Linked DNA regions of Lonchura striata. The protein of the gene in region 4 interacts with the protein of the main gene of each other region in a pairwise test. Links are inferred from orthologs where the notes say so. Each region holds a gene or a part of one and is shown on either strand. Other genes may lie near its edges. The genes, in order: SHMT2, SUCLA2, ACSF2 and ARL6IP1.

Region 1 (7,657 bases), on a different chromosome or scaffold from region 4:
CTCCAGCGCCCGCCGCTGGCACAGCAGCTCGAGCTCGTCCACCACCTCGGCCCCCCCGTAGTACCTGGGGACAGCACGGGGTCACCAGGGGGGTCCCCCCGCCGCCAGCCCGACCCCACGGGGGTGTGGCGCATCAGGCAGCCCCCAGTGATGCTGCGGGGTTTTGGGTTTTCTGTGTTTCAGATGCTGAGATTATGACACCTCAGATTTTGGGGGTTTTTTGGGTTCATGTGAGGGGATGGTGAGCTCTGTTCACAGAGTAGGCAGACAAAACAATTCCTTCTCTAGCTGGGGAACAAGGACAAAGGATCCAAATTTCAGGCCCAAGAGCAGAAACAGAAGTGAACTGAACAGAGAAAAACAAGAAGGATGGGACTGGGTAAGCTAAAGCTACAATTGGACAATTAACCCCAATATGCACATGGAGCAAAACTTATAAAAGCGACAGACCTCGTGACAAGGCATCCATTTTTGTGACCATTTTGGGTGCATTTTGGGTTCATCTTGTGACTATTTTGGGCTCACCTGGGCTGTAGCCCTGACTGGCCTCTTTGTGCTGCTCAGGGTGGATCCACTGAAGCCTCCTAATAAATCCCTAATTTATTCTTTAGCTCTGTTTAGATCTCTGTTCTGGGTCAGCATCAGCACTGGGGAGCCCCCAGCCCTGCCCTGGGGCTCCCTGGATGTCTCCTGCAGCTGAACCCCGGTGCCCCCCGGTGCCCCCCAGCCCCCTCCCCACTTTACCTCTTCCCAGGATACCCCTCCGAGTATTTGTTGTTGAGGCAGGAGCCCAGCGCCTCCAGCGCCGCCCGGCTGCAGAAATTCTGGGGTGGGGGGAAAAGTGGATGAGAATCGGAGCAGCCAAACCCCCTAAACTGGGGGTCCCCCAGCCCCAAACCCCAGCCCTGCCCAAGCCCCCCCACCTCAGAGGCGATGAGCTCCAGCCCCCGGCACTGCCGATCCTTCTCCTTCTGCACCAGGCTCCAGATTTCGGGGTCGCTCTCGGCCAGGCTCTCCTGCCCCGTCCAGCCGGGGACGTGCCCGGTGGCGGCGGCGGCGGCGGGGCCGTGCTGTGCCCGCCGGCTGCCCGTGCCCACCCGGGCCCCCCATCGCTGCAGGGTCTGCACAGAGAGGGGAGGGACGAGCCGTGACCCCTGGAGCCCGTCCCAGCACCTACAGGTGACAGTGGCAGGCACAACACCCCCAGGTCTGCCTCCAGCCACCGGTGTCACCCTGCAAGGTGGGAGCATGGGGACCCCAAGGGGTGCATGGGGACCTCAAGGGGCACATAGGGACCCCAAGGAGTGCATGGGGACACCAAGGTGCACATAGGGACCCCAAGGATCCCATGGGGCACATGGGGACCCCAAGGACCCCATGGGGACCCCAAGGATCCCATGGGGACCCCAAGGACCTCATGGGGCACATGGGGACCCCAAGGATCCCGTGGGGTGCATGGGGACCCCAAGGATCCCAAGGACCCCATGGGGACCCCAAGGACCCCTAGGGGCACACAGGGACCCCAAGGACCCCATGGGGACCCCAAGAACCCCTAGCGGCACATGGGGACCCCAAGGACCATGGGGTGCATGGGGACCCCAAGGGGTACATGGGGACCCCAAGGATCCCATGGGGTGCATGGGGACCCCAAGGGGATCTCAAGGATCCCATGGGGTGCATGGGGACCCCAAGGATTTCATGGAGACCCCAAGGATCCCATGGGGTGCATGGGGACCCCAAGGATCCCATTGGGTGCATAGGGACCCCATGGGGACCCCAAGGATCCCATGGGGACCCCAAGGACCTCACGGGGCACATGGGGACCCCGTCTCCACGGGACACATGGAGACTCCTCCGTGGTCCCCCCAAAGTACATAGAGACCCCAAAAGCCACATGGGGATCCTCCCAAGGCCCCCACGAGGTACATGGGGACCCCAAGGATCCCATGGGGACCCCAAGGACCCCTAGGGGCACATGGGGACCCCAAGGGGTGCATGGGGACCCCAAGGACCCCATGGGGACCCCAAAAGGTACATGAAGACCCCCTTAAAAGTCCTCACGAAGCACACAGGGACCCCCAAAACCCTGCGGGGGTGCCCCCCAAGCCGAGGTGCACAGCGGGCCTCTCACCCACGGGACCCCCACCCACGGGACCCCCCCTCGTTGTACACGGCGGCTGTGGGGGGACACCCGTGGGGCGCCCCCGGTGCCCGGTGCCGGGTGATGTAACCGCGGCCGCCCCATTGCATCACCCGCGGGGCAGCGGGCACCGGACACGGGCCAAGGCCGGTGCCGGGGCTGTCCCGGCCCCGGGGACTTTGGGACGGACACAAAGTCCGCGGGGGTGGCGGGGCGGAACCGGGCCGGGCTTGGGGGGGCGACACGCAACACCAGGGTGGGGGTCCCGGTGTCCAGCCGGGGGCGAGGAGGAGGAGCGGGATGGGATTGAGACCCCCGGGGGCGATGGAGGGTGGGGAAGGGGTACACAGGGGGGCACCGGGGGCACCGGGACCCCCCCCCGCGGCACCGGGCACCGGGACCCCCCCGCCGGGGAGCGGGAGCCCTGGACCACCGGGGCTGCAGCTCACTGAGGGCACCGGGACCCCTGCGAGCACCCAAATCCCCCGGGCACCGGGACCCCGTCCGGGCACCGGGACCCTCCCTCCGGGCACCGGGACTTCCCGCACACCGGGAACCGCAGCGGGTGTCCCCACGCCGCGGACCGGGGCTGTCCCCCCGGGCACCGGGAGACACCGGGGCTAGCAGAACCCAGCGCTCACCGGGGGATGCGGGAACCGGGGATCCTTACCGGGGATCCTTACCGGGGATCTTTACCGGGAATCCTTACCGGGAACCCGGGACCCCCACCCCGGTGAGAAGCGGGCCCCGCTCCCAGCCCCGAGGCTCACCCTGCCCAGGCGGAGCGGCCACATCCCGGTCCGCGCTGCACGTGGGTCCCGCCGGGTCCCGCTCCCGGCCCCGGTCCCGGTCCCGGTCCCGGCCTCCGCTGGCCCCGCCCCCACGCGCGCGCTGCCGGGAGGGCGGAGCCACCGGAGCCGCGGGGCCGACGGGAAACGGGAGCCCCGGCGCCTCCCCCCCGAACCGGGGCAGCCCGGACCCTGCACCCCCTCCCCTTTCCTAATGTTGGGATCCCCGGTCCTTGCACCCCCCTTCCCTGATTTTAGGGTCCCCCATCCCTGCACCCCCCATCCCTAATTTCGGGGTCCCCGATCCTTGCATCTCCCCCATCCCTAATTTTGGGGACCTCCGTCCTTGCACCCCCTTATCCCTAATTTTTGGGTCCCCTGTCCTTGCTCCTCCCATCTCTAAATTTGGTCCCCTATCCCTGCACGCCCCCCCCCCCTATTTTTGGGGTCCCTCGTTCTTGTACCCCCCTATCCCTAATTTTGGGGTCCCCCGTCCTTGCACCTCCCATCCCTAATTTTGATCCCCCATCCCTGCACCCCTCATCCCTAATTTTGGGGTCGCCGATCCTTGCACCCCCTCCCATCCCTAATTTTGGTCCCCTATCCCTGCAGCCCCCCCTCTATTTTTAGGGTCCCCCGTCCTTGCACCTCCCATCTCTAATTTTGATCCCTCATCCCTGCACCCCCCATCCCTAATTTTGGGGTCCCCGATCCTTACACCTCCCCCATCCCTAATTTTGGGGTCCCCCCATCTCTGCACCCCCCTCACCCCATCCCGAGGTCCCCCCTCCCTCCCCCCACACCTTCTCCCAGCCTCCCCATCCCTGCTCACCCCAAAACCGGGGTCCCTCCTCCTGCACCCCCCGACCCTCATTGCGGGGTCCCTCCTGCACCCCCGACCCTCATTGCGGGGTCCCTCCTCCTGCACCCCCCGACCCTCATTGCGGGGTCCCTCCTGCACCCCCCGACCCTCATTCCGGGGGTCCCGCCCCCTCGCCCTCCCCCCACCACCGCGATCCTTTGGTTTTCCCGGCTTTTCTTTATTTTCCGCTTTTTTTCCGTTTTCATTTTCTTTACAAAAAAAAAAAATTAAAGAAATAAAAGATGCAGAAGCCGTTCCCCGAGAGGAGGGGGCCGCCCCTGAAACCCCCCCCCAAAAATCGCATCCCGACCCCCCCCCCCCCCCCCCCCCGCCTGGCGCTTTTTCGCGGCGTGGGGGGAGGGTCCCCATGGGTGGGGGGGTCCAGGGGGCAGCGGGGCCCGGAGGCGGCACCAGAGCCACCCATGGGTGGGGGGGGGCTCCGGGATACCGGGTGGGGCCTTGCACACGTGTGGTACAGGTGTGTCACACGTACATACGTGTGGTACAGGTGTGTCACGCACATATGTGTGGTACAGGTGTGTCACATGCACACACGCATGGCACAGGTGTGTCACGCACATATGTGTGGTACAGGTGTATCACACGCACATACACACGCGTGGTACAGGTGTGTCACAGGGTACAGGTGTGTCACACACACACATGGTACAGGTGTGTCACACGCACACACACGTGTGCCCGGCGGGGGTCTCAGGGGTGGAGGGGTCTCAGGGGGTGGGGAGGTCTCGGGGGTTGGGGGGTCTCGGGGTGGGGGGGGGTCTCGGAGGGTGGGTGGGTGTCAGGGGGTGGGGGGGGTCTCCGGGTGGGGGGTCGGGACCCCAGCACCAGTTACACCCAATGGGTGGGGGAGGATGGAGTTTCAGTGGGTGGGGGGGGTCTCCATGGGTGGGGGTCCCGGATTCCCAACACAGGCAGCGCTGCAGTGAGGGGGTGTCAGTGGGGGAGGGGGCTGGGACCCCCCGAAACAGGTGTACCCCAGAATGGGGGCTGCAGTGATGGGGTCTCGGGGGGGGGAGGGGACCCCCAAGAACAGGGTACCCCAATTATGAGTCTCAAAATGAGGAGGGGACCCCCAGGATCAGGTGTACCCCGGGGATGGATCTCTGTGTAGGGGTCCAGGACCCCCAGCACCGGCTCCACCCCAGGGATGGAGTGATGGGATGTCACTGGGGGTGGAACTGGGACCCCCAGAACTGGCTGTACCCCAGTTGGAGTACTCAGTGATGGGGTCTCAGTGGGTGCCCGGGACCCCCAGTACGGGGTACTCAGTGATGGGGTCTCCGTGGGTGCCCGGGACCCCCAGAACTGGCTGTACCCCAGTACAGGGTACTCAGTGATGGGGTCTCCGTGGGTGGTTGGGACCCCCAGTACAGGGTACTCAGTGATGGGGTCTCAGTGGGTGCCCGGGACCCCCAGTACGGGGTACTCAGTGATGGGGTCTCCGTGGGTGGTTGGGACCCCCAGTACAGGGTACTCAGTGATGGGGTCTCCGTGGGTGCCCGGGACCCCCAGTACAGGGTACTCAGTGATGGGGTCTCAGTGGGTGCCCGGGACCCCCAGAACTGGCTGTACCCCAGTGTGGGGTACTCAGTGATGGGGTCTCAGTGGGTGCCCGGGACCCCCAGAACTGGCTGTACCCCAGTGTGGGGTACTCAGTGATGGGGTCTCAGTGGGTGCCCGGGACCCCCAGAACTGGCTGTACCCCACTGCGGCTCAGGAATGCCGCAGGCATGGGACGTCATTTTAGGGGGGAACCTGCAACTCCCAGAACCAACCGAATCCCACCATGGGACGGCATTGGGTGGGGTCCGGGACCCCCAGCACCGGCTGTCCCACAGCCCAGCCCAGAGCCATGAAGACGGGGCTGGCGTGGGGGTGACGGGGGGTCCCGAGTGACGCCGAAACCCCCGCGTCCCCCGGTGCCGTCAGCCGAAGTAGGGGTTGTCGTGCTGGAAGTTGTAGTCGGGACAGACCTTCTGCACCAGCTTGTAGTCGATGCTGAGGAAGGAGATGAAGATGCAGATGACCTTGAAGGGCTTGGCGCAGAGCCAGGCGGCGTGGCTCTGCGTGTGCTCGGTGAAGCACACCTTGGACGGGTCGTAGAGGCACGGTTTGTTCTTCCGCGCCCGGTTCGTCTTCTCGTACTCCACGTGGCAATTGAGCGCCTTGGCCGGGCGCCCCTCGGGCAGGGTGCTCTGCTGGGGAGGGGGCGGTGGTTGCAGCAAGGGTGGGGGGCCTGGCACCAGCACCTCGAAACCCACCGCCTTGGAGGGTGGCACGATGCTGACGGAGACGTTGCCCAGGCTGGAGGAGTTGTGTCGGAAGTAGACGCTGAAGGTGCCGTTGATGTGGTCGACGATTTTCCCCGTCACCAGGAGGCTGAATTTGAGCGTCTTGATGTTGAAGTAGAAGTCGCCCCAGCCGAAAATCTTCTTGGTGCGGCTCGATTTGAGGGTGGGCTTGCGGTGGGCGCGGGGGCTCAGCAGCTCCCCGGCCGTCTGGTTCTTCTGCCAGTCCCAGGGGCTCCGGCCGGTGCCCGCCGGTGCCCCCGCGCCCCGGGCGGGCTCTGCCGGAATCAGGCGCCCGGGGTCGAGGGCTGGGGGTTTCAGGGTGCCGTAGGGGACATCCTTGAGGAGGCCCGAGGTGCCCATCTCCAGGTACCCCAAGGTTTTGGCGATGTGACCGCCAGCACACACCGTCTGGGGAGAGAGGGCAGAGAGGGCGGGAGCTGTGCCTGTGCCCTTCCTCATCCCTCTGCATGCACCCTCCTCATCCTCCTGTGTGCACCCTCCTCATCCTCCTGTGTGCACCCTCCTCATCCCTCTGCCTGCTCCCTCCTCATCCTCCTGTGTGCACCCTCCTCATCCTCCTGTATGCACCCTCCTCATCCCTCTGCATGCACCCTCCTCATCCTCCTGTGTGCACCCTCCTCATCCCTCTGCCTGCTCCCTCCTCATCCTCCTGTGTGCACCCTTCTCATCCTCCTGTGTGCACCCTCCTCATCCCTCTGTCTCCTCCCTCCTCATCCCTCAGCCTGCTCCCTCCTCACCCTCCTACCTACTCCTCCTTCCTCATCCTCCCGCATGCGCCCTGCTCATCCCTTTGCCTTCACCCTCCTCATCCTCCTGTGTGCACCCTCTTCATCCCACTTCCTGCTCTCTCCTCATCCTCCTGCGTGCATCCTGCTCATTCTTTTACCTTCACCCTCCTCATCCTCTCGCGTGCACCCTCCTCATCCCTCTGCCTGCTCCCTCCTCATCCTCCTACCTACTCCTCCCTCCTCACCCTCCTGCCTGCACCAGCTGGGCTGGCACCACACCAGCCCCTTCCCAAGGCTCCGCACTCATCTGCTGCGATGGACACCAGCGAGCCGAGCCAGATGCCGGCCCTAGCCTGGGACCTCACCTCTGACGTGTCCCCCTGTCCCTCATCCCCCTGCCCACCTGCCCCTCAGTGCCCCCATCGCTCATCCTCCTGCTCCCGGGGTGCCCGCTGTGCCCTCCCGCCCTGCCAGCTGCTCTGGCACGGGGGATGCTGCTCGGGCAGCCCCGGCCTCGTCAATCACTGTCGCCCTGAGCTGGCAGGTGCTTGGCTGCTCGGGCAGTTTCTGCTCTGCATGACCTGGATCCCGGCAGGAACGGAGAGGGGGAGTGGGGAGGGGGTGGCGAGCAGAGGCAGCAGCTGGAGGGGCCGGGGGGGAGCGTGGGGGGCAGGCCCAGGGAATGGCTCCTGTCATTGCCGGGGGCTCATCCTGGCATCACTCACCCTACAGAACGGCTCGGTGGCGGTTCCTGCTTGGGAATGATCCCCATGGGGAATGGCAGGGGTCCCGTGAGCCCCAGCAGA
Region 2 (7,533 bases), on a different chromosome or scaffold from region 4:
ATTGCCCAGAGTCCCACACTCCAGATAAGAGCCATACCTATGATGTCACAGGGATGACACAGAGCTATAAACCAGGAGCCAGACATACACACACTGCTGGAGGAGCCCTCTCTGAGCAAAAACAAAACAAAGGAACCCTGACTGACGAGTTCCTGGGCTATTGATTAAAGAGCCACAGACAAAGGTTCTCTCATTTCCCTCCAGCAATACCTGCGCAGACATTAGAGAAAAGGGGTATACCTTGGAAAGTTTTGATCACACTATAAACTCACCCTTAACCGAAGGTAAGGTTCTGAAGTTTAAACCATTCTCAGAAGCATTTTAGCAACTTCCTTTCATATTAATGAAAGTATTCTAATTTTGTATCACTTACTCTCTAAGGGAAACAAGATAAAGAAGGTATCTGACAATACCTGAATTTCTAGGACATCATGCCTAAAGGAAAAACAGCTTTTCAATTCTTTTCTACATTACAAAGCAACATAACTGGCTCTAGAAGAAAAATTATCATTTCTTTCAGGTCTCATTTCTCACACTAAATCTCCATATGAAACTGAAATGAATCCAAGAAAACCTATAACCTCAAGAATAACTATGAATGTATCCCTTTGGAGGTGAATAGAGATTTGAGCATTTGCGTAGGAGAAAGGAATATGTCAACCTATGTCCTTCACTAAAACTTTGTGACATATGTTTTTCCAGAGAGGGGAAAAAAAAAAATCCCAGCCTTAAAACTAACAAACCCTCCCCAAATAAACCAATCAACCAACCAAAAAATCCCCACCTTCTAATGCCTGACACAATAGAAGTTGACTTCCATATGAAATCCAAATTGAACAACATTTTGCTAGGACAGATCGTAAATAACACGGCAAATTAATAGGCAAAAACAAGTCCAAAATTAAAGCTTAATTCTAAATTAAGTATTTAAGCACCTGGCAAATGAGATGGGATACTTTTTCATCAACAAGCCAGGAATTTAGCATACGACTACAAGCCATCAAAATCCTCCTCTCCTGTATGAAGTAGTTGCATTCTGACAGAAAAGCACACTCACAAAGGAATAGGATTTTACTCTTCTCTGGTAGCTTAAAGAGAAGTATGTAGCTTGAGGACAAGTATGAGATCTTGTCACCACCACTGAAACTCTTCACACAAGACTTCCTCTAACCTTGCTGAAAGTAGAAAGAAATCCAGGATTTGCAAAGTAGAGTCTATTACTCATCTCAAAGAAGTTTAACTAGTTATATTAGTCTAAGCTAATAGAATTTATACCTGACCTATTCCTTCTTAGCAAGAAGGTTGCTTCACAAGGAAGGATCTCTTAAAGGTATATAAAGAACTCCAAGCAACATCTTACCAAGAAAGACAGAAAAAGTAGGTACACCTTGTACCAATCCTATTAGTATATGTTCTCTTTAATATTATACCTATTTCTTTCGCTATTTTGTAAGCTTCATCTGGAGTATTGGCAACCACTCCATGTGGAACAGAAATGCCAGCCTCCTTCAACAGTCCCATGCTCAGGTATTCATGGAGTGATAGCCTCCTCTGTTGCTGTTGTTGCACTTGAAACCCATGACTGTTGAGTATTCCTGAACTTCCAGCAAGCACCTGAAGAAAAAGAATAAAAAGAAAAAAAAGAAAACAAAAAGAAAAATGTGACTGTTGTGAAGGACCAACCTCTTTGTTTAGGCTAAAAAAACCAGTCTACATATTAAACAAGTACACTTTAGTGTTCCAGTGCAAACACCTGAACATTTAATCCTACCCTTCCATACTAGGCATTCATATCATGTCTGGTATTTGATTTTGTGAGGTTTTATTGGGCAGGGGAAAGAGCTGGTGAAACTACTAGCACTGACAAGTTGACAAGGACTGTAAAATAAAAATCAACAACAAATGCAAAAAACTGTTTGCTGCAATTTTGTATTTCACCATATGCAAATAAGACCTTAATTTTATACACAAAGCAAGAAACCTACTGAATTCAGCTAATCCATGAACATGGATGATCACCAAAAGACTCAAGGTAAAAAGATTACAAACAAAACTTACATACAAAACAAACTTTTGCTTTTATTTTTATTTTTTTAGTACGTATCACTGGCATAAGCACTGTGAAAATCAGCCTGAATGAGGAAGTTTGGAAGTTTCTAATCAGATAGATTTTTAAGGCTTCATTTCACTTCAAATAAAGGAAACAAGCAGACGACACATGAGCTTTACTACAGCATTCCAAGCTAGCGAATCGACAGGGCCTATGTAGCCTCCAAAGGATTCCTCCTCCAAGCAGGACGTCCTCTCCTTGGCACGACCCCAAGGGAGAGGCGCTGGGGAGGCTGCGTGTAACTCGAGAGGGGCACTCACAGAGACCTTCCCCAGTACGTGGCAGGAGAAAGTGGCAGCGAGCGTCACACACCGTGTCACACACCGCAGCCTCCCGAACTCCTTCGTGTCACCGCTTCCCAGAGGTGCTGCAGTCAAAAACAAGCCCGCACCCCCGAATGGCATCCCCAGGAACCAAGAGCAGAGGCTGGCGAGGTGCGAGCTGCAAGAAGAGTTTAACTGGCACAGCCCGACCCCTCCTAGGAGCAAGGTGACGGCGGAGATGGAAACACGGGCATTTCCAAGCAAGATAGGGGACGGGGGCGCTGAAAAGTAAGGGAAAAGGAGCCACACAAGGAAGACATGCCAGAAGCAAGAACAGCGGCTGCGGGGCCGCGCACCAAAGGTGAGCACCGGGCTGCCATCCGCGGGGCAGGGCAGGGCAGGGCAGGACGCGAGTGCGCCCACACGGACGCTGCTCTCGCCGCCGCTCTGCAGGGAGCGACCTCGACCGCCATCCCAGCCGGCCCGGCCCCGCTTCAGCCCCGGCCCATCCCACCCCCGCTCCCGAGCGGGCGCTACCTTCCCCGCGGCGGAGCCCAGCGAGGCGCGGAGGCCGCTGCCCCTCAGCCCGGCCGCCACCCGGCTGCAGATCATGGAGGCCGCCATGGCCGAGCCCCTTCGCCCTCGGGTGCCCCCGGCAGCGCGCACGCGCCGCTCGCGGGCCGGGGCGGGGCCAGGAAGCGCCGCGCGCGGCCCCGCCCCGCAGTGACGCTGAGGGCGCTGCTCGGCCTCGCCTTCCCTCCAACCTTTTGCTTTTAATAAAGGTCAGGTTTGCTTCGCAAGGATCCTAAGTGGGTTGTAATGCACCCACAACCTTCCGACCACGTCGGTCTCGGTTGGCACCACCTGTGTTAAATGTGAGGGAAGAGGCACGGCTCCCTTAGGACACGCCCACACTCCTTCCCGGTTCAGCTTCCCAATGGAAGGACTTCCAGTCCTGAGGATTACTTTTTTGGTTTCGTATTTCAGCGTGTTTCCATGCAGCAACGTAAACACAACCGTTCTTGCTTAAGACAAGATACAATGGTTTTAAAATGAAAGAGGGCAGGTTTAGATTAGATTAGTAAGGAAAAAATTCTCTGTTGTGGGGGTGGGAGGCAGTGGAACAGGATTTTCAGAGGTGTGCATGCCCCATCCCTGAAAGCGTTCCAGGCCAGGCTGGATGGGGCTTTGAGCAACCTGGTCTAGTGGAAGGTGTCCCTGCCCATGGCAGATGGGTTGGAGTTAGATAACCTTTAAGGTCCTTTCCAACTCAAACCATTCAGTGGTTCTATGACTGAACTGAGGACTAGTATTTCTAGATATTTTGCAGCCCCTTCCCCATGCCACCACCTCCATTTCTGCATCACACTGCTCCACGCTGCGCCTCCCCCTCTGCAATTCAGTGTCTGTACTTTTACTTTGGTGGCCTTGACTCAGGTCACTAAGGAAATGAAGCAGGGAGCAGATGTCCCTGCAGAAACTCGTGACCAGACATTGTGATTCACCAGGAGGCAAAGCTTTTTCCTTTAAAACAAAATGGAAATTAGGAAATTAGCATTGGCCTGGGAAATTGGAACAAGAATGTCCTCTACCAATAATAAGGAAAAATGCAGTTATTTCCATACATTATGAACATCAAAGCAAGATCTGATGTGAAAGAAAGCCATGTCAGAGCTGTGATACTTCCTGAGTTTTGTAATTTGAATTATCCAGTAAATGATGAGTTGCTTCTTTTTGTTATGAAACTGAAAATGCATTATTGTAACTTCTCCTTGGGCGAGTATTGCAAAAGATGGAGTCATTTTGGTTTGGTTATTTTGCTCCTGGTCCTCCACTGACCTGGTGTTATTGTCACCTGTTAGCACTGCAGTGAGCTCTGCAGACTACTTAGCTCTGCACCTCTGTGTGCAGACACACAAGATAGAGAAGTATGTTAACTTCTCTATCTACACTGAACCTGTAAGCAGCTGCAAAATTTTGATAGACCATCCAAGATTTCCCACCACAGCTGATAAAATATTTCTTCCAGCCAAGGGGAAGGGAAGAAAAAGCACTTGAACTCTGCTCTTTCTGCCTTCTGTACACACAGTGTCTCTTCACTAGTCACAGGACCTGCTGCAGTTCTGTACTGCACAGGACGGTACATGGATGCCATTTCCACATACAAACAAATCTCCTACCTCCAGGAGACTCCCCAAAATCACCTCCGCCCTGGAAAGGATTTGCAACAATGTTTACAAGAGGATGTAATGGATCTTGGCAAAACTTTAACCTTAAAAGCCCAAAGCTACTGTTCAGACATAAGCACTGGCTGCAGGTCAGGAAACCAGACTTATATCCTGACTCAGTTGCGAGCTACTGGAAGGAAATTTGACAACTGTCCCTGGGCTTTTAATAAATTCTTGCCTTAGCAAATGACTGTAAAACATTCAGATTACAACTACTACTGTATCTTCTTCTCACTAGGTGTGACTTATCCTTCCAGTTTCAAAATGAAGATGGTTTTTTTACCATCATTTCAAAAGAAGAAATGTCACATGGCTGACAATACTGAAGGACTTCTAGAAAGACTGAGGCAGCTGCTGCTGCTATCTAGAGTCTCGTACACAGCTGTATGGAGAACTTTAATTATCTGAATGTTTTATATTGTCTGATTTCCTCTTGGCTGTGAAAACTCATCCAGCTGGGGTGGACTGTAAACATGCCTGGATTTTTGTCTGATCACCAGTGCCACCACCAGGCTCTGACTGTCAGCACAAGATGGTTGTAAGCCCAACTCAAAATCTTAAAAACAATAGTTCTTGGAAATGACACATTCACCTCTTCTTTATATTGTTAGACATACAAGAAAAGATAACACTCTTGGCTACAACCAGTCAAATTCCTAGTAAGTCCAATATAAACTCAGGTTTGTATAGGCTCAGCCTCATTCAATATCTGACCTACAATTGAAGAAACTACACAAGGAATTCCAGCAGATATCCAGAGGTTTTGCTAAATCTCCAGAAATAGATTCAATCGTATTCAAAGTTTAAAATTATGAGATTTCTTGCTAAAGTCAGAGTAAGATTTTTAACACAGGATCAAGGCCCTCTCTGAAAAGCTGTATTTAAAACTATAAAGAAACAGGGGAAAGGTACATTACAAATGAGATAGAAGGAGCCAAGAACTTTTAACGGACAAGCAGGACAAATAAAGCATCCTGTTTGAGACCAAATATAGCATCCAGGAAGGCTCAGGCATTATGAATAGACATGAATTTGCTTTATTATAAATTTACCACGTCCACACAGTGACAATGATACAATCTGATTTATTTCCCAGACCTTGTAAGCTCCGCTGGTTGATACTTTATAGTTGAAAAACATCAGGATAGAGGGTCTTGCCAAGAACATCAGAGTTAGAAAGTGAAAGCCCCTGCCAAGGCCGTGAGTCCAGAGGGTAGGAAATTTCCAAGACAAAATTTATCAGCAGCTTAAAAAGCACCCCAGTACCTGCGGAGAAAAACACCCTGAGCTTTCCAGAGCTCTTTTAGTTGAAGAAAGGAAGGAAGACAGGAAGGAAGAGCCCACCTAGTATGGTAGATGAGTAAACAGGTTTAGCTGATGAATCAGCCATGGTCAGAGCAAAAAAACTGACTTTAAAGCAGAGTGACAATAATCCTTCAGTGGTGTCTACACTGCCTTACATTGCACATCTTATACATGGTGAATTCTCTCTGCAGGAGTACCATCATGGTACTCTCTGGACAAACTGCAGGTTGCTAAGGGGACCCTCAGGCATAGCTAACAACATGAAACTATTCACTGCACCCATTTGCAATATTAACAGGTTATTCCATCTCTTCTCCCAGCCATACAGAAAAGTCCTTCCAGGGTCCTTCGCTGAAGGTGCTCCGGTGTATTTCCTGCAAGGATTCTACCATATGTCCCAGCAAAGAGGCATTTGCTGTGTGCACTCTCAGGCCTACATAGATGGAATTTTTTACAGAATACAGTATGAACATTCATCACTATTATACCATCTCTTCCCAGCCAGTGAAGGCTGGTAGGTGAAAGGTTCAATGAAAGCAAAAGGATTTGGTTTGCAGAAAATGATCTGTCACATAGCTAAGTTGTGGAGCACCTTGCCACAGATGCTGCAAATGATGAAAATTTACATGGGCACAAGAGGAGTCTTGGTAGGTTAAGAAAGAGAAACAAGAACAAGGTTAGTAAATATACAGAAGCCACCTCTGCCTTGAGAAGTCACCAAGCCACAGATGGCTGTAGAATAGTAGTCAAAAACCCTGTCATGATTTCTTGCCTACTGTATTCCAGACATCCATTCTGGACCTCCAGGTACTATCCTAGATGGATAAGGAATAGACATTTTTATACTCTTCTTATTCAGAGTCCCCTGGGATTGAGTACACACAGAAGTTTAATCAAAGCTGAAGCACAATCCACCTTCACCCGCCTAAGGGTTGCCCAAGGTTACTTAAAGTGTTAATGACAAAGCTACAAATAAAACAGAATTGTTTCAGCACCTTTTCTCATTCCAATGACCCAGTCCTGTCTGTACACAGCAAATAAATAATTAACAAGCAATGAAGTCAGAACACCTGTAGTACAGCTCTAATTTGTCCTATTGCTCTTGCACACTATTCTCACCACATGTAAATATGATCAGAGGTTATTTACATTTCAACATAAAAACTATGTATCACACTTTGCCTAATTTCCACTAATAATGCTTATGAAGCCATAATATTAGAGCAAGCAATGATTTGTGGTAAAAGACAGCCATTTAATAGAAACATGCGGTGTCATAGAAATAATTCTGCTGAAATAAAAGTGAGGAAACAGTTAACAATGTTACATTTTCAGTATCAGGTTTCACGATAACAACCAGAAGCTTGAAAGCAAGAGAAGAAAAATCTCTCAAGTTCAAGTTTCAGCCAGGTGGCTAGCAGGGCTTTGGTGTCATGCACTGCTGTCGCATTCCACCCAGCTTCTGAATGCCAGCTTTGCAATGTAAAATATTTAAATATTTTAATATTGAACATTTAAATATTCCATCTTCCAATTCATACTTCTGCTAAGAAAATGCAAATTTATAGAAAATTCCAGAGCCAGGGAATCTTTCATGTGTATGAAAGATGGATGTTTTCTGCTTGTG
Region 3 (7,739 bases), on a different chromosome or scaffold from region 4:
TGTAGTCAGCCTTCAAAGAGGAACTTGCACGGCCCTGCATTCCCAGTGAAAAAGGGAGTATCTTGCACTGTCATGTCGTGGCAAAGCATTACACAGATCAGGCTCTCTGGGTTTCCTGTCTCAATATTTTCCAGACCTGAAGAGCCAAAAGGTTTCTCTAACTTTTTCAGAACCAGACTTTTAAACTAGAGGCAAGAAGGCACAAGGCTCCAGGTTTCATGGTTTGTCTTCCTCCCTACCCCCAAACATGAGGATGAAAGTGCATCAAAGAGCAGTAAAAGATATTATGAAGCTACATGCTGAAAAATACTGAGAAAATACTGCAGTATTTCACACTGTGAACACAGCTTGCTCTCAGAGGTCCCAAGTATTCACATTTTCAAATGAAAGCATCAGCAACACTGAAATTAGAGGCTAAGAAGGCTAAGATACCTCATGCTTATAACCCAGACACATTGACTCCTCTCAAAGCACTAATTCACATAATTTCTTCAAATGCATTAAAGCAAAAATCTCAGCTGCCATCAAGTCTGAGTTCCCCGAATTCTGGTCTGACATTGACACATGCTTCAGCATTTCTGTGTCACTTTGACAGTGTCAGAAGTGAAAAGTGTGGGATAAAACACAGCAGCCTTTTGGAAGCACTGGGGGTCAGGAGTGGAATAAAGGAGGCACACACAAGACATGTTCATTATCAGCAGCAGCATGCTGGAAATCACACAGGGCTGGTCTCCCTCCTGCCTACAGCCAGCAGCAAGAGTTTGTATCTGATCTGAGAGAATCTATCAAGAGACCTCTCGAAAGAAAGGATCCAAAGGATTTGGAAATAATCTCTGTGTTCATCTTTGTTACACAAAACGAGTAATTCACCCTTCACCTCTTCCTACAAAGCATCTGGTGCTGCTGGAGATAAAATGAGACCCACGGTCTGATATTACACCGGCTCTCATTTCCCTGGCTCAGCCAAAAGAGAGCAGATAAAACTCTGCTTGCTCTTGGGTGTCAGCACTGTAAACCACACCTTTTGGAGGGCACATGCCTTTTGTTAGCAGCACATTTCTGCAGCAAGCCAGCCTGCAAATGAGCCAGCCCTTCTATGGGCTGTTCCCACAAAACTCCAGAACCCTCAAGTTCAGCAACACAGCACAACAGAAAGACATCAGAGATCTGGGGGAAATGCATCCTCCTCCTCTTCCCTGCAAAAAGCGGGAGAGCAGCCAAACCCCAGCAATCCCAGAGCTCTTCTGCCTGGTGGCAGGAAGCAGAAATGATAAGACTGAAGCAAGCACTCTGAGTTAATCCTAGGAGCTGTTTGTATTTTTCCCTGAACAGCTCCAATCAAAGTCTGGAGTTGTTGACATAAGATAACCAATTCTGTTTTCACCTTTAACTCTTTACCAGTCTCTATAGAAATTATCAAAAGGGATGAGCGAGTAAACAAGGGAGTTAACCTGCTGTCCCCTTTGTAGTGTGAAGGACACTGACCTGCCCTGTGGTGCCATCACGTCAGCACCTGTGGGAAAGGCCCTGCCTTCCCAGAGCTTGGGAACTGTCCCAAATACAGAGTTCATACTTGGAGAGGTTCACAGATTCTGCCAGCTCCTTTGCTCATGGACATCTACCAGAGCCTCTCCCCAAAACAAGAGTTTTTGGGTCTTTTCTGTAACACGACTGCAATTAAAGGGTGGTAAAAATTAACTCTGCTCTGTCTTCATTCTGCTTTAATCTGTTGACTAAAGAGTTAATCAGATACTACTTTTTAAATTATTATTTAAAGTTCCCTGGGTTTTCAGACTCCTTCTGCAGCAACTTTCTGGTTTTGTTTTCCACTGTATCTCTCTGCCCTCTGCACTCTCCCTGCCAAAGGGATAAACAAACTGAGGAGTAGAACTTAATAAACTTTTTTTATAACATTACTAGAAAGAGTTTACTCTCTAAATACATGCTCTCTCTCCCCAAGGGCTTTGTGTTCTTGTCCCTCAGTTTCAATTCTGGGCTGAAGTGAGCTGCAGTGAATGTTGTCATGCTTCTCTTGTGATCCTACTTCCTAAGAACTGATTCTGAGAAGGCAATCTTCACACAACTATGATGAAGTGGCTTCAACACCTCACTCCTAATGTCAAACCAGCTGAAAAAACCCACCTAAACCCTGTCTGTGAAAAACAAGGAATGCCCCGCCTGATTCTTGGAATTGCTTACTGGAAGTCATCCCAGTGATTATTACTCTGAATACCAGCGAATCAATCAGAGCCTTTCCCAAAGCCAGATACTCCCCATTGCTGGTTTTTCACATGAACTTGCTCAAAGAGGCACCACTGAAGAAAAGCAAGGCAAAGAACTGGCCTGACTTCCCAAGCCCCAGAGCTTCTTGGTGTCCCACACTGCTTGGCCACCCAGCTACCTGGGGGCTGCAGGACCACAGGGGGACAGGGACACTGACAGCAAGTCAGAGCTCTGGAGGAAGATGGGGAAGCCATTTGATAAACTTCACATTGCTGCAATCTAGATGGAGCCGCTGCACAAAGTTCAGCCCTTGCCATGCCTTCACTTCCCTTCTCCTGCTGTTCAGGGCTCATCCCTGCCCCGGCCCACTCCCAGGTGGGGTGAAGCAGATCCAGGGGATACAGCCTGCCTTCTGCCACTTTGGAAGGGTCTGGGGATGACAAGGGTGAATATGCCCTCCCTGCATGCAGCCACTGGCCTAGCTGGATATTCACAGCACTGATAGTCCCTGTCCCCCATCACACATGGTCTCCATCCTCTGCAGCCTCTGTGCCCTACAGCTCCCCGACCCCAGAGCCCTCTGCCCCCTATAGCCCCTATTCCTTCTCACCCACAGCCCCCTGCACCCTTTAATTCCCTTACAGCCCCAGTCCCCTACAGCCCCACAGCCCTCTACCCCTACATCCCGCACCTCCCGCTCCCCAGCCCGTCCCTACCTGCCCGGCGGGGCTCCGCGCTGCCCGCCCGCCCGGCGCAGGAGCTGCAGCCCGTGCCGGGCCAGCGCTGCCAGACGGGCCACGGCCATTCCTGCAGCGGCAGCACCCCGCAGCACCCCGCAGCACCCCGCGGACCCGGCCCGGCCCGCGCCGCCGCTCGGTGCCCCGGGCGCCGCGCCCCGCCCCGGCCCCGCCCCGCCCGCCGCTCCCGGGACCCTCCGCCGGCCGGGGGGAGGCACCGGGGGAAGGGAAGCACAGAAAGAGCCAGCCCTGCCCGGTCCGCGAGAGGGACTGCGGGCTCAGACGGAGCCCCCAGAGTCCCGCCGGGCATCTCCCCATCCATCCTCTGCCGGTCCCCAGCCCAAGCTGCCCACCACAATTTCTTCCCTGCACATTTCTGGTCCGCTATCTCTTCTTGAGATAATGGGCAGGCCTGCTCCATCAGCCTGACCCAACCACTGTTACACCCGAATAAGCCTCTCCACTCAAATGAGTAGAGACTGACTTTGGTGCAAGACAAACACCATTATTTGCCTCTACCTGTCTCCACTTGTATCACTTGGTGCCTGAGCCCTGTGAGTCACCAACTGCCCTCCAGCCCTATGCCATCAATGAGTTATCAGCTAGCACCTCACTAACACCTGTATGCACTCCCTGTGGAGGAGAAGAGAGCAGCTAGGAACGGCAGAGCTGCTCCAGGGCTGGGCAGGCTGAGACCCCCCTCACCTAAGCACAGAGGTGTGGGGCTGCTGAGCTCTGCATCAGCACTGATGCTCAAGAGGTGACACAGTGTATGTGTATCACATCATGCACAATGGCGCTGACAAAGAGCGTAAATATCAACCTCAGAATGGTGAATCTCAGACATCAAAGCCAAAACTGTGCTTGCGACAGAGTGAAATACCAACTGCCACCAGATCTCTAGTGTCTGACACTTGCTTTTAGAAATTAAGGATTTTCCCCAATGTGCATCTAGTTCACAAGGAATTTGTTTGGTGGCAGCAGTGACAATGTCTTCTTTGTTAGGGAAAGGGAGAATTTTTTTCCCTTGAAATGTGAAAAACTTGCCTTGGCTGCAGAGGGCAGCCAGAGATCTTCTGAGCGTCTGGGAATGGTCTCCAACCCCAGGCTGGCATGGTCAGCTCAGCCCCAGTAAGGAGCATTAGATCACAATTAGATCGACTGTGTTCATCCCTCTTCCCTCAGCATTTCCTGCTCCATTCTCCTTGCTAATGTTCTTGCAGCCCCTAGCAGAGTGCACAGATGCACCTTGTGCTATGCTTTGTCTTTGTCTTGTGGAGCTTCAAAGTCTTTCTAGCCTGCGTGCACGGATACCTCCTCCAGTCAGCCCCACTGGACCCAGCAGCCAGGTGAGTTTCTGGATTCCCACAGGGGATGTAAAGCTGTGTGACATCTGTGGCCAGAAGTTGTCCTTCCACTGTTTGGCCAGAGCAGAGCAACTGTCTTTGTGCTGAAGGAGCATCAGAGCTCTCAGTATTGTATAACCACAGAGAAAAAAAAAAAAATCAGTGCAAACGTGTAATAAATAAAAATAAAGATGACTTTTGGCTTGATCTTCCCACATTATGGTTTTTAGCCTAGATGGTGAGTCCCAGTTAAAGAAAGAATTAAACCATGAATTATGCAGAAATGTCACCCTGACATTTGAGTATGTTTGTTTGAGATGGTAGTGATTTTGGCTAGAGATCAAATCAAAGGACCCCTGAAGCAGTAACATTTCATACACCATTGCATAAGGTAGCATTCATTTCTAATCAAGATTTTCAAATCTGTTAATCACAAACAAGTAGGTAGGTTTTGTAACCCATTACACCCTTGTTTGGTTTTGCCAATGGCTCTTGGATTTTTCAAACACAGATTTTAGTCTCTGTATTTCCCAGATATGCAGAGGGTCTTGCTCAGGCCCCCTCAGAGCCCCTCTGGGTTTTGTTCTCCAGAGCAGGACTGTCTTTGGTGCTGTTCCATGGAGGGGAACAGCACTGCACATCACATGAATCCCTCTCTGGCTCAGGGTAAGGAGTGGATCAGTAATCAGCTGCTGCCTTGGAGATCTGGTTTCCCCACCATTCCCTGGAGCAGGTCTTCTCTGGCTCTTCCCTCCAACAACAAACGTTGTTGTGAAATCTGATGTATGGAGGGAGCTTCTTGGATAAGTAGACCTCACTCCTCTCAGATGAGGGCTCTGTGATTTCTGCTCACATTTGGAAGAACAATAACATGCTCTGAAAATCTTCCATAATCTCCTGGACAGGAGACACCTTAAACTCAGGCAAACTTTATTGTAGTTTCTACGAGGCAAATCCTTGTGTGCTACTTTGGCATGCCTTTGTTCAGAGAATCCTGTGGCCTCAGTTACCTCAGTACTGAGCAAATAAATTGGTTTCTGGGTGTTGGAAGAAATTCACTGGCAGCTTACAAACAAACTAATGCATCCACAGAGTAGATGGGCTGCAATAGTGAAAACATCTTTGCAATGTCCCAAACATCACATATAGCACAGAAGTCAGGAAATTCATGCTGTAATCCCAGTACCAGGTAACACTAATTTGGCTCTGCCCCAGGCTCCTTTCTCTTTCACTGACTTTCTCCACAGAGTGCCCTGCTCCTGTGGGACTGGAGCCTTGGGAGCAAAGCAGGAATATCCATTAAGTGTCCCTCCTGTGAACAGACATTGTGGGGTAATGTAACAGCCAAACTGAGAGGGAGTTCAGCCCCTGGATTATGGAGAGTGTGGACAGATATAAGCAGCTATATCAGGTATTGCAAAACAAGGTATACATCCTTGGGTTTCTGTTGGGATTATCGGCCATAAACCAGTTGGTTCTCTGTGTGTCAGGTGATGTGACTGGATGCAAAACCGCCCCTGCTCATGGGTCTTGGCTGGGAGTTCTCCTGCCTTCTGCAGGGCTGTTTCATGTAGCCCAGATCTAAACTCCTGCCAACCTGGCCAGGGTTCCAGGGCTGGTGGGACAGTTGCAAGGATGCCCTGAGCTGTGCCAGTGTGTCCCAAAATAGGCTCTCCCACCCAGTGTACAGGAGGCCAACCCAAACCCAGAGTTGTAGTATTTGATTTATTTACAGTTCTGCACTGGATGGCAAATCCACAAAGCCAGCATGACAACTGTCAAAACTTTTGACTGTTTATATATTTTAGCAAACAAAAGGCATTAATGTTCATTGGCTACGAGTTATCTGGTTCTCATATCAATTAGTATTCTATCTTCCAATGCCTAATGATTTTTTTCACTTCCCATACTAATTAGTCCACAGTCTTGTCTCTCTTCTTTTGGGTTGGTGGGTTTCTTGGGTCTGTGTCCATGAATAGGTGGTCATAATCTACTCCTGACAGAACTACCTTTTACCTGCTTGGAGCTGATTCAACCCAATTGCTGAGCCAGCTTTATTAGTTTCTTCCTTATCTTGGAAATTCTGCCTAATGTTCTTGTAGCCCATAAATCCTGCATTCCTTGTACCCACTATCAGTAGTACATCCTTCTTCCCAAGCTTTGTTAACATCCCATTACATCTGAGATCATCGCATCAACATTAAACCCTAACAAGACAATTCTACCAACAAGTAATTCGTCTTTCTAAGCGCTCAGAGCTTATTAGCGGTTGTCTGCTTCGGGGATTAAATCTCCTTTCTTTTTGCTTAGGTTTGAAAGAGATCGAGCATCAGGTAACGTTCTTTCTTAGGGTAACTCGGTGTCCTGCGGCGCCGGTGCGGCCCCGCTCCGGGCCGGCAGCGGGCGCGCTCGGGGCGGCTGGCGGGGCCCGTGCAGACGTGGCCGCGGAAGTGGGTGGCGGGGCCGGGCCGTGCCACGCCGGGCTGGGCTGTGCCGTGCCGAGCCGTGCCGAGCCGCTCCGAACCCAACCGAGCCGCATCCCCCGCGGGCAGCCGCCGACGGAGCCATGTCGCGGGGCAGCGGGAAGGGGATCAGCCTGAAGGATAAGCTGGATGGGAACGAGCTGGACCTGAGCCTCTGCGACCTGAACGAGGTGCCGGTGCGGGAGCTGGTGAGTCTCCGGCCGTACCCCCCCCGGCGGGGCTGGGGACCGCCTGCCGGTCCCCGGGAAGGAGCAGCGTAGGGGAGCTGGATGTGCTGGGGGCTTGTGAGCTGGCCTGCAGGTATTGAAAGCAGCGAGGTTCTGTCCCGCGGGCCCGACAGCCGCTAGTCACTGCTGTCCCGGGATAAGAACCTTTTTGGATACAGAGATGGATCCGGAGATGACGTGGCCTCGGAGCAGCCGCGGGGGATGGACAGACTGACGCGGGAGAAACCGCAGAGGCCGAAGCAGAACAGGTGTCAGAGGGGGTCGGGTGAACCTCCATGTTCATTCAGTGCTTTATTTGTCTTTCAGGCCGCTCTTCCGAAAGCTACTATCTTGGATTTGTCCTGTAACAACCTCATTTCCTTGCCGGTAAGGTGCTAGAGAGCCTCCGTGGGGATGTGTCTGCTGGGAAATATTTGGAAAGATAGCTGGTGCTTCAGGAGAGGCTCACCAGGCACCGTGGAACTGGCATTTTCACTGCCCTGGGGTGGCTGAATGACTCGTTGTCAGTGACGGGTCAGTGCTGGCAGTGATTTGGCTGAGGCAGGAGAGAGTACAGGGTTGAACTGTGTGAAGATTGCAGTACACTCCTTCCAGAGCATCCCCAGGTTAATAGAGAGGACTTTCATCCGCAGTGGAGACTTGGGTTTGTTCCTGTCATATTGTCATCCATAACCTTCTCAGTCTGTCTATCTGTCCTACTGTGTCTCACCTCCATCTTCCAAG
Region 4 (7,557 bases):
ACCCACTAGAGGCTGTTATTTGCTCTGTCTCTCCTGAGAGAGCCAGCCAAACCTGTTCTGGACAAGAGGCCATCAATCTCCCCTTAAAGCAGTGCTGCATTTTCCATATTCAGTCTGCCATCAGTCAAACAGAGCAGAAGGGCAACTGGATAAGAACCAGCTGATCTCCTGATAACACCCAGCTGGGCCCTGTGCTATTCAACTGTACTTCACAGAACTTCCTGAAAACTGAAACAGTAAAAGCAAAGAAATAGCCCAGGCCATGGTGGGGCTGTTCTGTATATCTGTAGAGTGCTACTGTGCTGGCTGCTCAAGGTCATTTTGTTGAGTTCAGAACCTGAAGCAGTTCTGCATTTCCACAAAGTATTACTCAGCACAAGATCTTCCCTTCTGTAATCACAGAATTTATAACAGAATATCCTCAACTTCACACAATGGCTTCTTTTAAAAGTTACTTTTCAGTTTCCATTTGATTTCCACCTTCCTCATCTCCCCTAAAAGCATATTAGCCAAAAGAACAATTATCCCTGCCTCACCTGGTTCAACATTTATTTTTGTAATTTCTCTCCTCATTGCAGGAACAGTTACAACTGGCAAACTGCAGAGCTGGCACAAATAGCTGTCTGTGCAAGGCAGTCAGGTCATCTTTACTCCCATGTTACGTAAGGGCACATCCAAGTGCCTCCAGCACCTCCAATCAGACAGGCAACATCCTTCCACCCTGCAGACTGGAAATTACTGTAGCCTTCCCTTTTGCCCTTTCTCAAAAGACATGACAGAATATTAGAAAACTCTAGGTGTGCAAAAATAACAGAACCTATCCTAAACCCACAGCAAAGAGGCAGAAAAGGCTATTTTGCCCTATTGAAACAAGCTTTCTATAAGGATACTGCTGGTGGTGTCGGGGGGAAGCCAAAGCAGATTGTGAGATCTGACAAAGAAGCAGGGTACAAAGAACGAGGGCAGAACATGAACGCACCACTGAAGAAAATTCAGCTGAGCACAGTACAAACCCTAGCAACTACTGCTGGCAAACAGCTTTTGCAGAAACTATTCTGAGCAGGATGTGAATCATGTTACTTCCTGCTTTCATAACTTCTGTTTGTAATTTCCAACATAGTTCACACATTTTAAGAAAAAGAACCTAGAGTAAAAGCCTTTCTATTAAGACTTCTCCAGGTGTCCAACTAATTTTCTTAATAGGTTTGGTAGTAGCCATGAAGATGCAATGATGTTGCAGGCTCCCTCCAGGAGGTACTTACAGGAAGGAAAAGGAAACAACACTCATCAGTGCCAGAGGAAACCAGGCTCGCTCCCAGCGAAGAACTTTATCGGTCAGTAAAATCACTTCTCCCCATCCTTGCAAGTGCTCTTCCAAGCTTGCAGTTTCAGAAGCCTACGCAAAAAGAGAAGAAAACCCCTTTAACTAACCAGAGTGTATCAAATTAATTACCACACTGAAGTAGATTTAAAAAAACCCCAGTGTAATAATTAAAGATTCCAGCCACAAATCTTTCTGAGTAATTAAATAAGTAATTATATTGTGAGTTTTGTACTAAGTTATGACATTGTAGCAGTGATGCCTTTAAGCAGTCAAGATCCTAGCAGCATGTACAGGCCTCGTCCCAGATTTTGCCAAGGTGTTTTCCCCTAATCTCCCATTTAGCATATCCCATCCAGCACATCCCATCCCCCCAGATTAGTAGAAAGTCAGGTTTTAAAGATTTTTAAGTTTTCAGTACCCATGACCGGAAAACTGTAATATGAGAACTGTTTAAAACTAAATGTATTTTCCAAGACAACACTAGCACATTAAATTGTTCTAGCTGCTGTCCAATGCCAGTTTATTATGAGGAAGATGGATAAAGACTCAGAACCCACAGTAAAGTTATCAAACTGACCACATTTGGACAGCAAGTTTTCCCACAAGCTGCCCTAAACAGCCTTTAGACTCCATTTCCCATATGATTCCTACATTCCTCCCTACACCTCTCCTGCAAGGAGGCTCCACTTGTGCTGCCATCAGCTTGTTAAGAAGTTCACCTGAGGTGTTCCACACTTAAAAGAGCTTAACAGTCTCCCCTCGGTGGGAGATGGCATCTCGGAGATTACAAAACTCAGGCAAACCGCGGACAGAACCGACTGCTGCCCGAGCAGTAAGAGGAGGAAAGTCATGAAGACATGCACGTCTGCCGTGCAGAGGTAACAGAACAGGTTTTACTCAGCGGCATACTACACTTAATTCCAATAAGAACTCCGACGCCACCAGAATAACAAGCACAACACAGCTCGTGGACTTTCTACAAACTCTGGAGCCTCCCTGCAAGCGCCGAGCTCCTGGAGCTGTTCCCGGCGCCCGGCTGGGTGTGCAGCACGCAGCGCTCGAACGCTCGGCAGGCTTTTACAGCGACTTTCCTATTGCCCACGGCAGCCGCTTGCCAACTGAGGCGTAACTATACATATATCTATATATAGCCTTGTGTTTATTTAACTATTCAAGCATATCTCAGCACGTTTAGTTAAGCTGAATCACCCAACGCCTGCCGCTCTCCGGTATCGCTGCGGCGCTCGGTCCCGCAGCGGAAAGCTGCACACACACAGACACACGCGGACCCTCAGACTGACACAGACAGACAGACAGACAGGGTCGGGGTAGCCGCCGCGGATCCCGTAAGATCAGCCAAGCGCCGCTGGGGCTCGGGCCTGCAGCAGCCGCAGCCGCGCCCGCCCCACACCGAACCGGCAGCGCCGAACCGCGTCACGAGCGCGGGGCCGAGCGGCCCCGCCAGGCACCGCTGCGGGCAGGACAGGGCAGGACAGGGCAGGACAGGGCAGGACAAAGCGGAGCGGAGCAGCCTGGCGCCGCCGCCGCCCCCCGCAGGCTCGAGCGGCCCCGCCCGCCCTCACCAGCTGGTAGGCGCTGTTGTTGTCCCCCTCCGCCATCTTGCGCCGCTCCCGCACCGCCGGCCACGCCCTCCCTCACCGCGCCGCCGCCTTTTATAGCCTCCGCGGGCCGCCTGAGCGCCGTGATTGGTCAGCCGCGGCGCCCCGCCGGCCGCCGGTTGGCTGCCGGGATTCGAAGGGCGCGGGGCGTGCGCGCGGCCCGCTGGCGCGCCGCAGTGCGGCTGAGGCGGCGCCGGGAGGGGCGGCGGGCCGGGGAGAGGGGGCGGCGGAGCTGGGCTGGAAAACAGCCGAGTCCAGCCTGCGACCGAGCACCGCCGAGTGCTGAGCGACACACATCACATCTTGCCCTAAAACACCTCCAGGGATTGTGACTCTGCCACCTCCTTGTGCCGCCCGTTGTAATATCACTCTCTGAAGAAATTCTTAATGTCCGAACTAAACCTCCCTAGGCTCAGCTTAAGGCTCTGTCCCCTTGTCCTGTCCCTCTTTTCCTGGGAGCAGAGCCCGACGCCCAGCCGGCTCCAGCCCGCTTTGAGCAGCTCTGAGGTCACCCCCGTGTCCCGAATGAACACGCCCGGCTCCCTCAGCTGCGGCTCCTCAGCCGTGCTCCAGCCCTGCCCTGCTCCAGCACTGCCCCAGCTCCATACCCTGCTCTGAATCCTCTCCAGCCCTGCCCCAGCTCCATACCCTGCTCTGAATCCTCTCCAGCCCTGCCCCAGCTCCATACCCTGCTCTGAATCCTCTCCAGCCCTGCCCCAGCTCCTGCCCTGCTCTGAATCCTCTCCAGCCCTGCCCCAGCTCCATACCCTGCTCTGAATCCTCTCCAGCCCTGTTCCAGCTCCATACCCTGCTCTGAATCCTCTCCAGCCCTGCCCCAGCTCCTGCCCTGCTCTGAATCCTCTCCAGCCCTGCCCCAGCTCCATACCCTGCTCTGAATCCTCTCCAGCCCTGCCCCAGCTCCATACCCTGCTCTGAATCCTCTCCAGCCCTGCTCCAGCTCCTGCCCTGCTCTGAATCCTCTCCAGCCCTGCCCCAAGCTCCATACCCTGCTCTGAATCCTCTCCAGCCCTGCCCCAAGCTCCATACCCTGCTCTGAATCCTCTCCAGCCCTGCCCCAGCTCCATACCCTGCTCTGAATTCTCTCCAGCCCCTGCCCCAGCTCCAGCCCTGCTCGGAGCTCGCTCCAGCCCCTCAGTGTCCATTCTGAACTGGACACACCACCCGAGCTGTGGCCTCAGCAGTGCTCAGCTCTGGACCAGTTCTATTGGTAACATCAAAGCCCAGCAAGGTGTTTCATTTCCTTCAGAACTTGTGGCAGCATGGGAATAAATACAAGATAAAGGCACTGGGATATAAATATTGTTTCTGACTCAGCTTTCTAAATGCTTCAGGCACGTGGGTTAATGAGCGTAATCACCGTGCCCAGGATGCCACACGAGGCTGTAATGAGAGCAAACAAAACATCTCGGGCACCAAAACTTCTCTGGCACCAGCTTGATAGAGACAAAAAGAAGAACTAAGGACAATGTAAAAGCAAACATATGTCTATCCTGGATGGTTTGGTCTTCCACAGGGTGCTTCTCACTCACCCTAGAACATATGTAAAGAACAGATGTCATTCTGAATAACTAAAATTCATGTACATGCTGCTAAAAGCTAAGAGTACTTTTGTGTAACATTTTACACTTATAAATGGTGGATTTCACTCTTAAAATCTGTAATTTTAGCACAGCAAAGCTCACACAAAAAGTGATTTCATAAGGAAGTGATGATGCCAGTGATAATTTTGTTAGTCTTTTAAAAGAGTATGGAGCCATACAGAGGCATGACCTCACAGCAGCCTTCCAGCGTCTGAAAGGGGTCTACAAGGACAGGGATTCAACCTCAGGAGCTGTAGTGACAGGACAAGGAGTAAAGGGTACAAACTGAAAGAGGAAAAATTTGGGTTAGATATAAGGAGGAAATTCTTTACTAGGGGTGGTGAGAACAGGTTTGCCTGGGGAGATTCAATGCTGGGAGATGTCCCTGCCCATGGCAGGGGTGTTGGGACTGGACGGTGTTTAAGGCCCATTCCAACCCCTCACCATTGTGTGATTCTATAATGCAGTACAGTTTCTACAGATATTTGCAGTGCCCTGCAGCAACACTGCTCTGGCTATGAGATACCATCAGCCAGCTCCTGGATTCATCCATTTATGTGATTCTCACCAAAAAACCCAAGCACTTACCAATGGAACAAGCAGGCATGGCCATCATCTCCAGCCAGTTTTTTCAACGCCAACTCCCTAGCCAGGTGCCCTTGCAGCTTTTCTCCATCCCAGAGGGCCAATGGAGGTGTTTTTCCCTCCTATTACGTGTTGCTCCAAACCTCAGAGGGGCCACTGCACTGCAGAACACAGCACAGGGCAGGCCCTGCCACCTGCCCACCCCTCCCTCACTGAGCAGCCAGGCCAAGTGAGGCACCACGTCAGATTAAAAATGTGTGCTACATGTGCAGGTACTCACATATTCCATTGTTAAAATCTCAGCCATGGTGTATTCACGGAAAATTCATTGTTAAAATCTCAGCCATGGTGCAGGAGGCAGAGGATCAGCAGTAGCTCAGTCCCTCCTGCACCTTACCTGAGCTAAACCAAACTCTTTTGCTTGCCCCAATACACGGCACAGACCATGCTAAAATGGAATCAATCCTTCCTGCACCAAGATTCTCTCTTAGCAGATGCACAGAAAATTAAATCCCCAAGATGGCTTCAAAGCACCTTTAAAAGGGGCAGTGCAATTGCTCTGTGCACTTAGAACAGGCACGAAAGTTTACATGTCAAGCCTCCACCCTTTCAGCATACCTAATATATGTTTATTTTGTTATTAATAAAAAATTAGCCTGATGAATGGCAGAATTGCTCTAATTAGCTATGCATTTACGTACACAGCAGTAGTTTGTAGCTAATATCTGTAGTTTCTGTGAAATTCTTTAGCTAAAACATTAACAGTCTGCTAATTTTAGGCAAAGCCTGCAAGAAAAAAAAAAAAAAAAAGGAAAAAAAGCAAAGAAACCTTTGAAGTACTTGAGTACATTAAAACAGAATGGCTAATGTACCAGGCACAGAACACATTGATGAATAATTGAAGTAAATTAACCTTAAGGACTACAGCACTTAGAAAAACAGAGTCTTTTACAGACATTTGAAAAATTAGACAAAACATTATTCTATTTAAATAAGATAATCCTTGAGGGCAAAACCAATTGTTGCAAAGCAAAACCAGACCATGAAGTCTCTACAAAGTACAAAACTATTTTCTGTTAGCTGTATAGATCTGCATTTCCCATTTGACTGTGCCATTATCCTACCAAAATAATCTAGGGCACCACTAATGACTTCAGTTTAACACATCCCAAAAACCGATTTGGCAGAGCCATGCTCACATCCTGGCTTTCCAAAAGGGGAGAAGGAAGAGAGGCAAAGGACCAACTCATTTTCAAAGGACATCTCAACCACGAGCCTATAGATTTGTGAGGGGGTAACAAAACTGCTGAACATATGTAGAATTTGGCTTTGAGAAATCACTTTATAGCATGGTCCCTTGGTTAACATTTACTGCAGCTAAGCAGCAGGCAAAAAATTGCCCTCAGTTGAACTGTTTGACTTCTATAGCTTAAGCTGGTTTGTATTTATTTAGAGAGGTGATTCTAGACTTGCATTATTCTATGTGTGCCTCACTGCAGAGAAAATAAACACCAGTTCTACTGAAAATAAAGTAAGCACCCTTATGTCTTTGTCAGAAGCATCTTTTAAGAGAATGTAACTAATGCAGTCTTATTTACTATGCAGGATGTGTGAGCAGAACCTGAATTTTAGGTTTCATCAAGACTGTACCAACCTCCCATACTGTCAACATTTCCCAAGAAAAATGTGTCACCTCACAAGTCGACAGTGACAGTCTAACTCCTGCACATCTGAGCTGTCTCCTTTGCATTAGTTATGCAAATTTAAGTCTCTGGAGAATCCTGCTCTAATTTGGGGTTTGGTTTGTATTTGTTTGTATTGGGCACTTAATTCTTCCCTGTAATTTTCACAACCACACAGTGTTGCATTGAAGGAAATTAAAAACACATTCTTTTTTATTTTTTAGAACTTTATTAAATTACGCAGTAAGAACCCATCTCCACACAAGTGTTCCATTTCTGGATGGCAGAGGTATAATACATGAGCCACAGGTGAGTGCGTTACCCCTCCCTTCCCCCCAGCTTCCAAGAAACAAAACAGCAGGTACAACACACTCCTGTCACTACACTTCTCCAACAGATTGTTCATAAGGTTATTTTTAACTGGAGAAAAATGAAAAGGACCAACAGTGCCAAGTGTCCTGTTCTGCATATGACTGTTCTTCACTGCAGCATTCCAACAGCTTCTCCTGGGCGTTGGTGGCAGAGGGTCAGGGAGCAGTGGCAGTGGAATGCGTTTGCACGGCTACTGCTAGATGCAAAGCCTGTGACTTCCCTAGAGGTAATCAGGCAATCAGAGTGCAAGGAAGGCCATATGACTGTTGAAAACTGTTACACTTCAAAGTGCATGTCCACAAAAAGTTGGCAACAGAGGAGAAAGCGAATTCTAGGACCTACTGCGGAGGCAGAGCAGTCAGCATAGTGCAAAT

What was found.
Region 1: the proteins of ARL6IP1 (region 4) and SHMT2 interact in binary tests that used the Homo sapiens proteins (3 or more experiments, as listed by UniProt). The two-hybrid records come from large-scale screens. The link is inferred for Lonchura striata from reciprocal best matches to the Homo sapiens genes ARL6IP1 and SHMT2.
Region 2: the proteins of ARL6IP1 (region 4) and SUCLA2 interact in binary tests that used the Homo sapiens proteins (3 or more experiments, as listed by UniProt). The two-hybrid records come from large-scale screens. The link is inferred for Lonchura striata from reciprocal best matches to the Homo sapiens genes ARL6IP1 and SUCLA2.
Region 3: the proteins of ARL6IP1 (region 4) and ACSF2 interact in binary tests that used the Homo sapiens proteins (3 or more experiments, as listed by UniProt). The two-hybrid records come from large-scale screens. The link is inferred for Lonchura striata from reciprocal best matches to the Homo sapiens genes ARL6IP1 and ACSF2.

The regions. Positions count from the first base shown.
Region 1 is NC_134629.1:5,868,558-5,876,214, reverse strand, and holds the start of SHMT2 (serine hydroxymethyltransferase, mitochondrial), read right to left. Parts: upstream 3,006-7,657; 5' UTR 2,935-3,005; coding exon 2,911-2,934; intron 1,122-2,910; coding exon 924-1,121; intron 825-923; coding exon 745-824; intron 65-744; coding exon 1-64. Other genes in the region: NXPH4 (neurexophilin-4), read right to left, coding at 5,737-6,561. UniProt on the Homo sapiens protein: Catalyzes the cleavage of serine to glycine accompanied with the production of 5,10-methylenetetrahydrofolate, an essential intermediate for purine biosynthesis.
Region 2 is NC_134604.1:61,888,222-61,895,754, forward strand, and holds the start of SUCLA2 (succinate--CoA ligase [ADP-forming] subunit beta, mitochondrial), read right to left. Parts: upstream 3,048-7,533; 5' UTR 2,998-3,047; coding exon 2,911-2,997; intron 1,615-2,910; coding exon 1,431-1,614; intron 1-1,430. UniProt on the Homo sapiens protein: ATP-specific succinyl-CoA synthetase functions in the citric acid cycle (TCA), coupling the hydrolysis of succinyl-CoA to the synthesis of ATP and thus represents the only step of substrate-level phosphorylation in the TCA.
Region 3 is NC_134621.1:5,722,521-5,730,259, reverse strand, and holds the start of ACSF2 (medium-chain acyl-CoA ligase ACSF2, mitochondrial), read right to left. Parts: upstream 3,045-7,739; 5' UTR 3,029-3,044; coding exon 2,940-3,028; intron 1-2,939. Other genes in the region: LRRC59 (leucine-rich repeat-containing protein 59), read left to right, coding at 6,873-6,977, 7,323-7,382. UniProt on the Homo sapiens protein: Acyl-CoA synthases catalyze the initial reaction in fatty acid metabolism, by forming a thioester with CoA. Has some preference toward medium-chain substrates. Plays a role in adipocyte differentiation.
Region 4 is NC_134618.1:9,832,087-9,839,643, forward strand, and holds the start of ARL6IP1 (ADP-ribosylation factor-like protein 6-interacting protein 1), read right to left. Parts: upstream 3,004-7,557; 5' UTR 2,944-3,003; coding exon 2,908-2,943; intron 1,397-2,907; coding exon 1,263-1,396; intron 1-1,262. UniProt on the Homo sapiens protein: Positively regulates SLC1A1/EAAC1-mediated glutamate transport by increasing its affinity for glutamate in a PKC activity-dependent manner.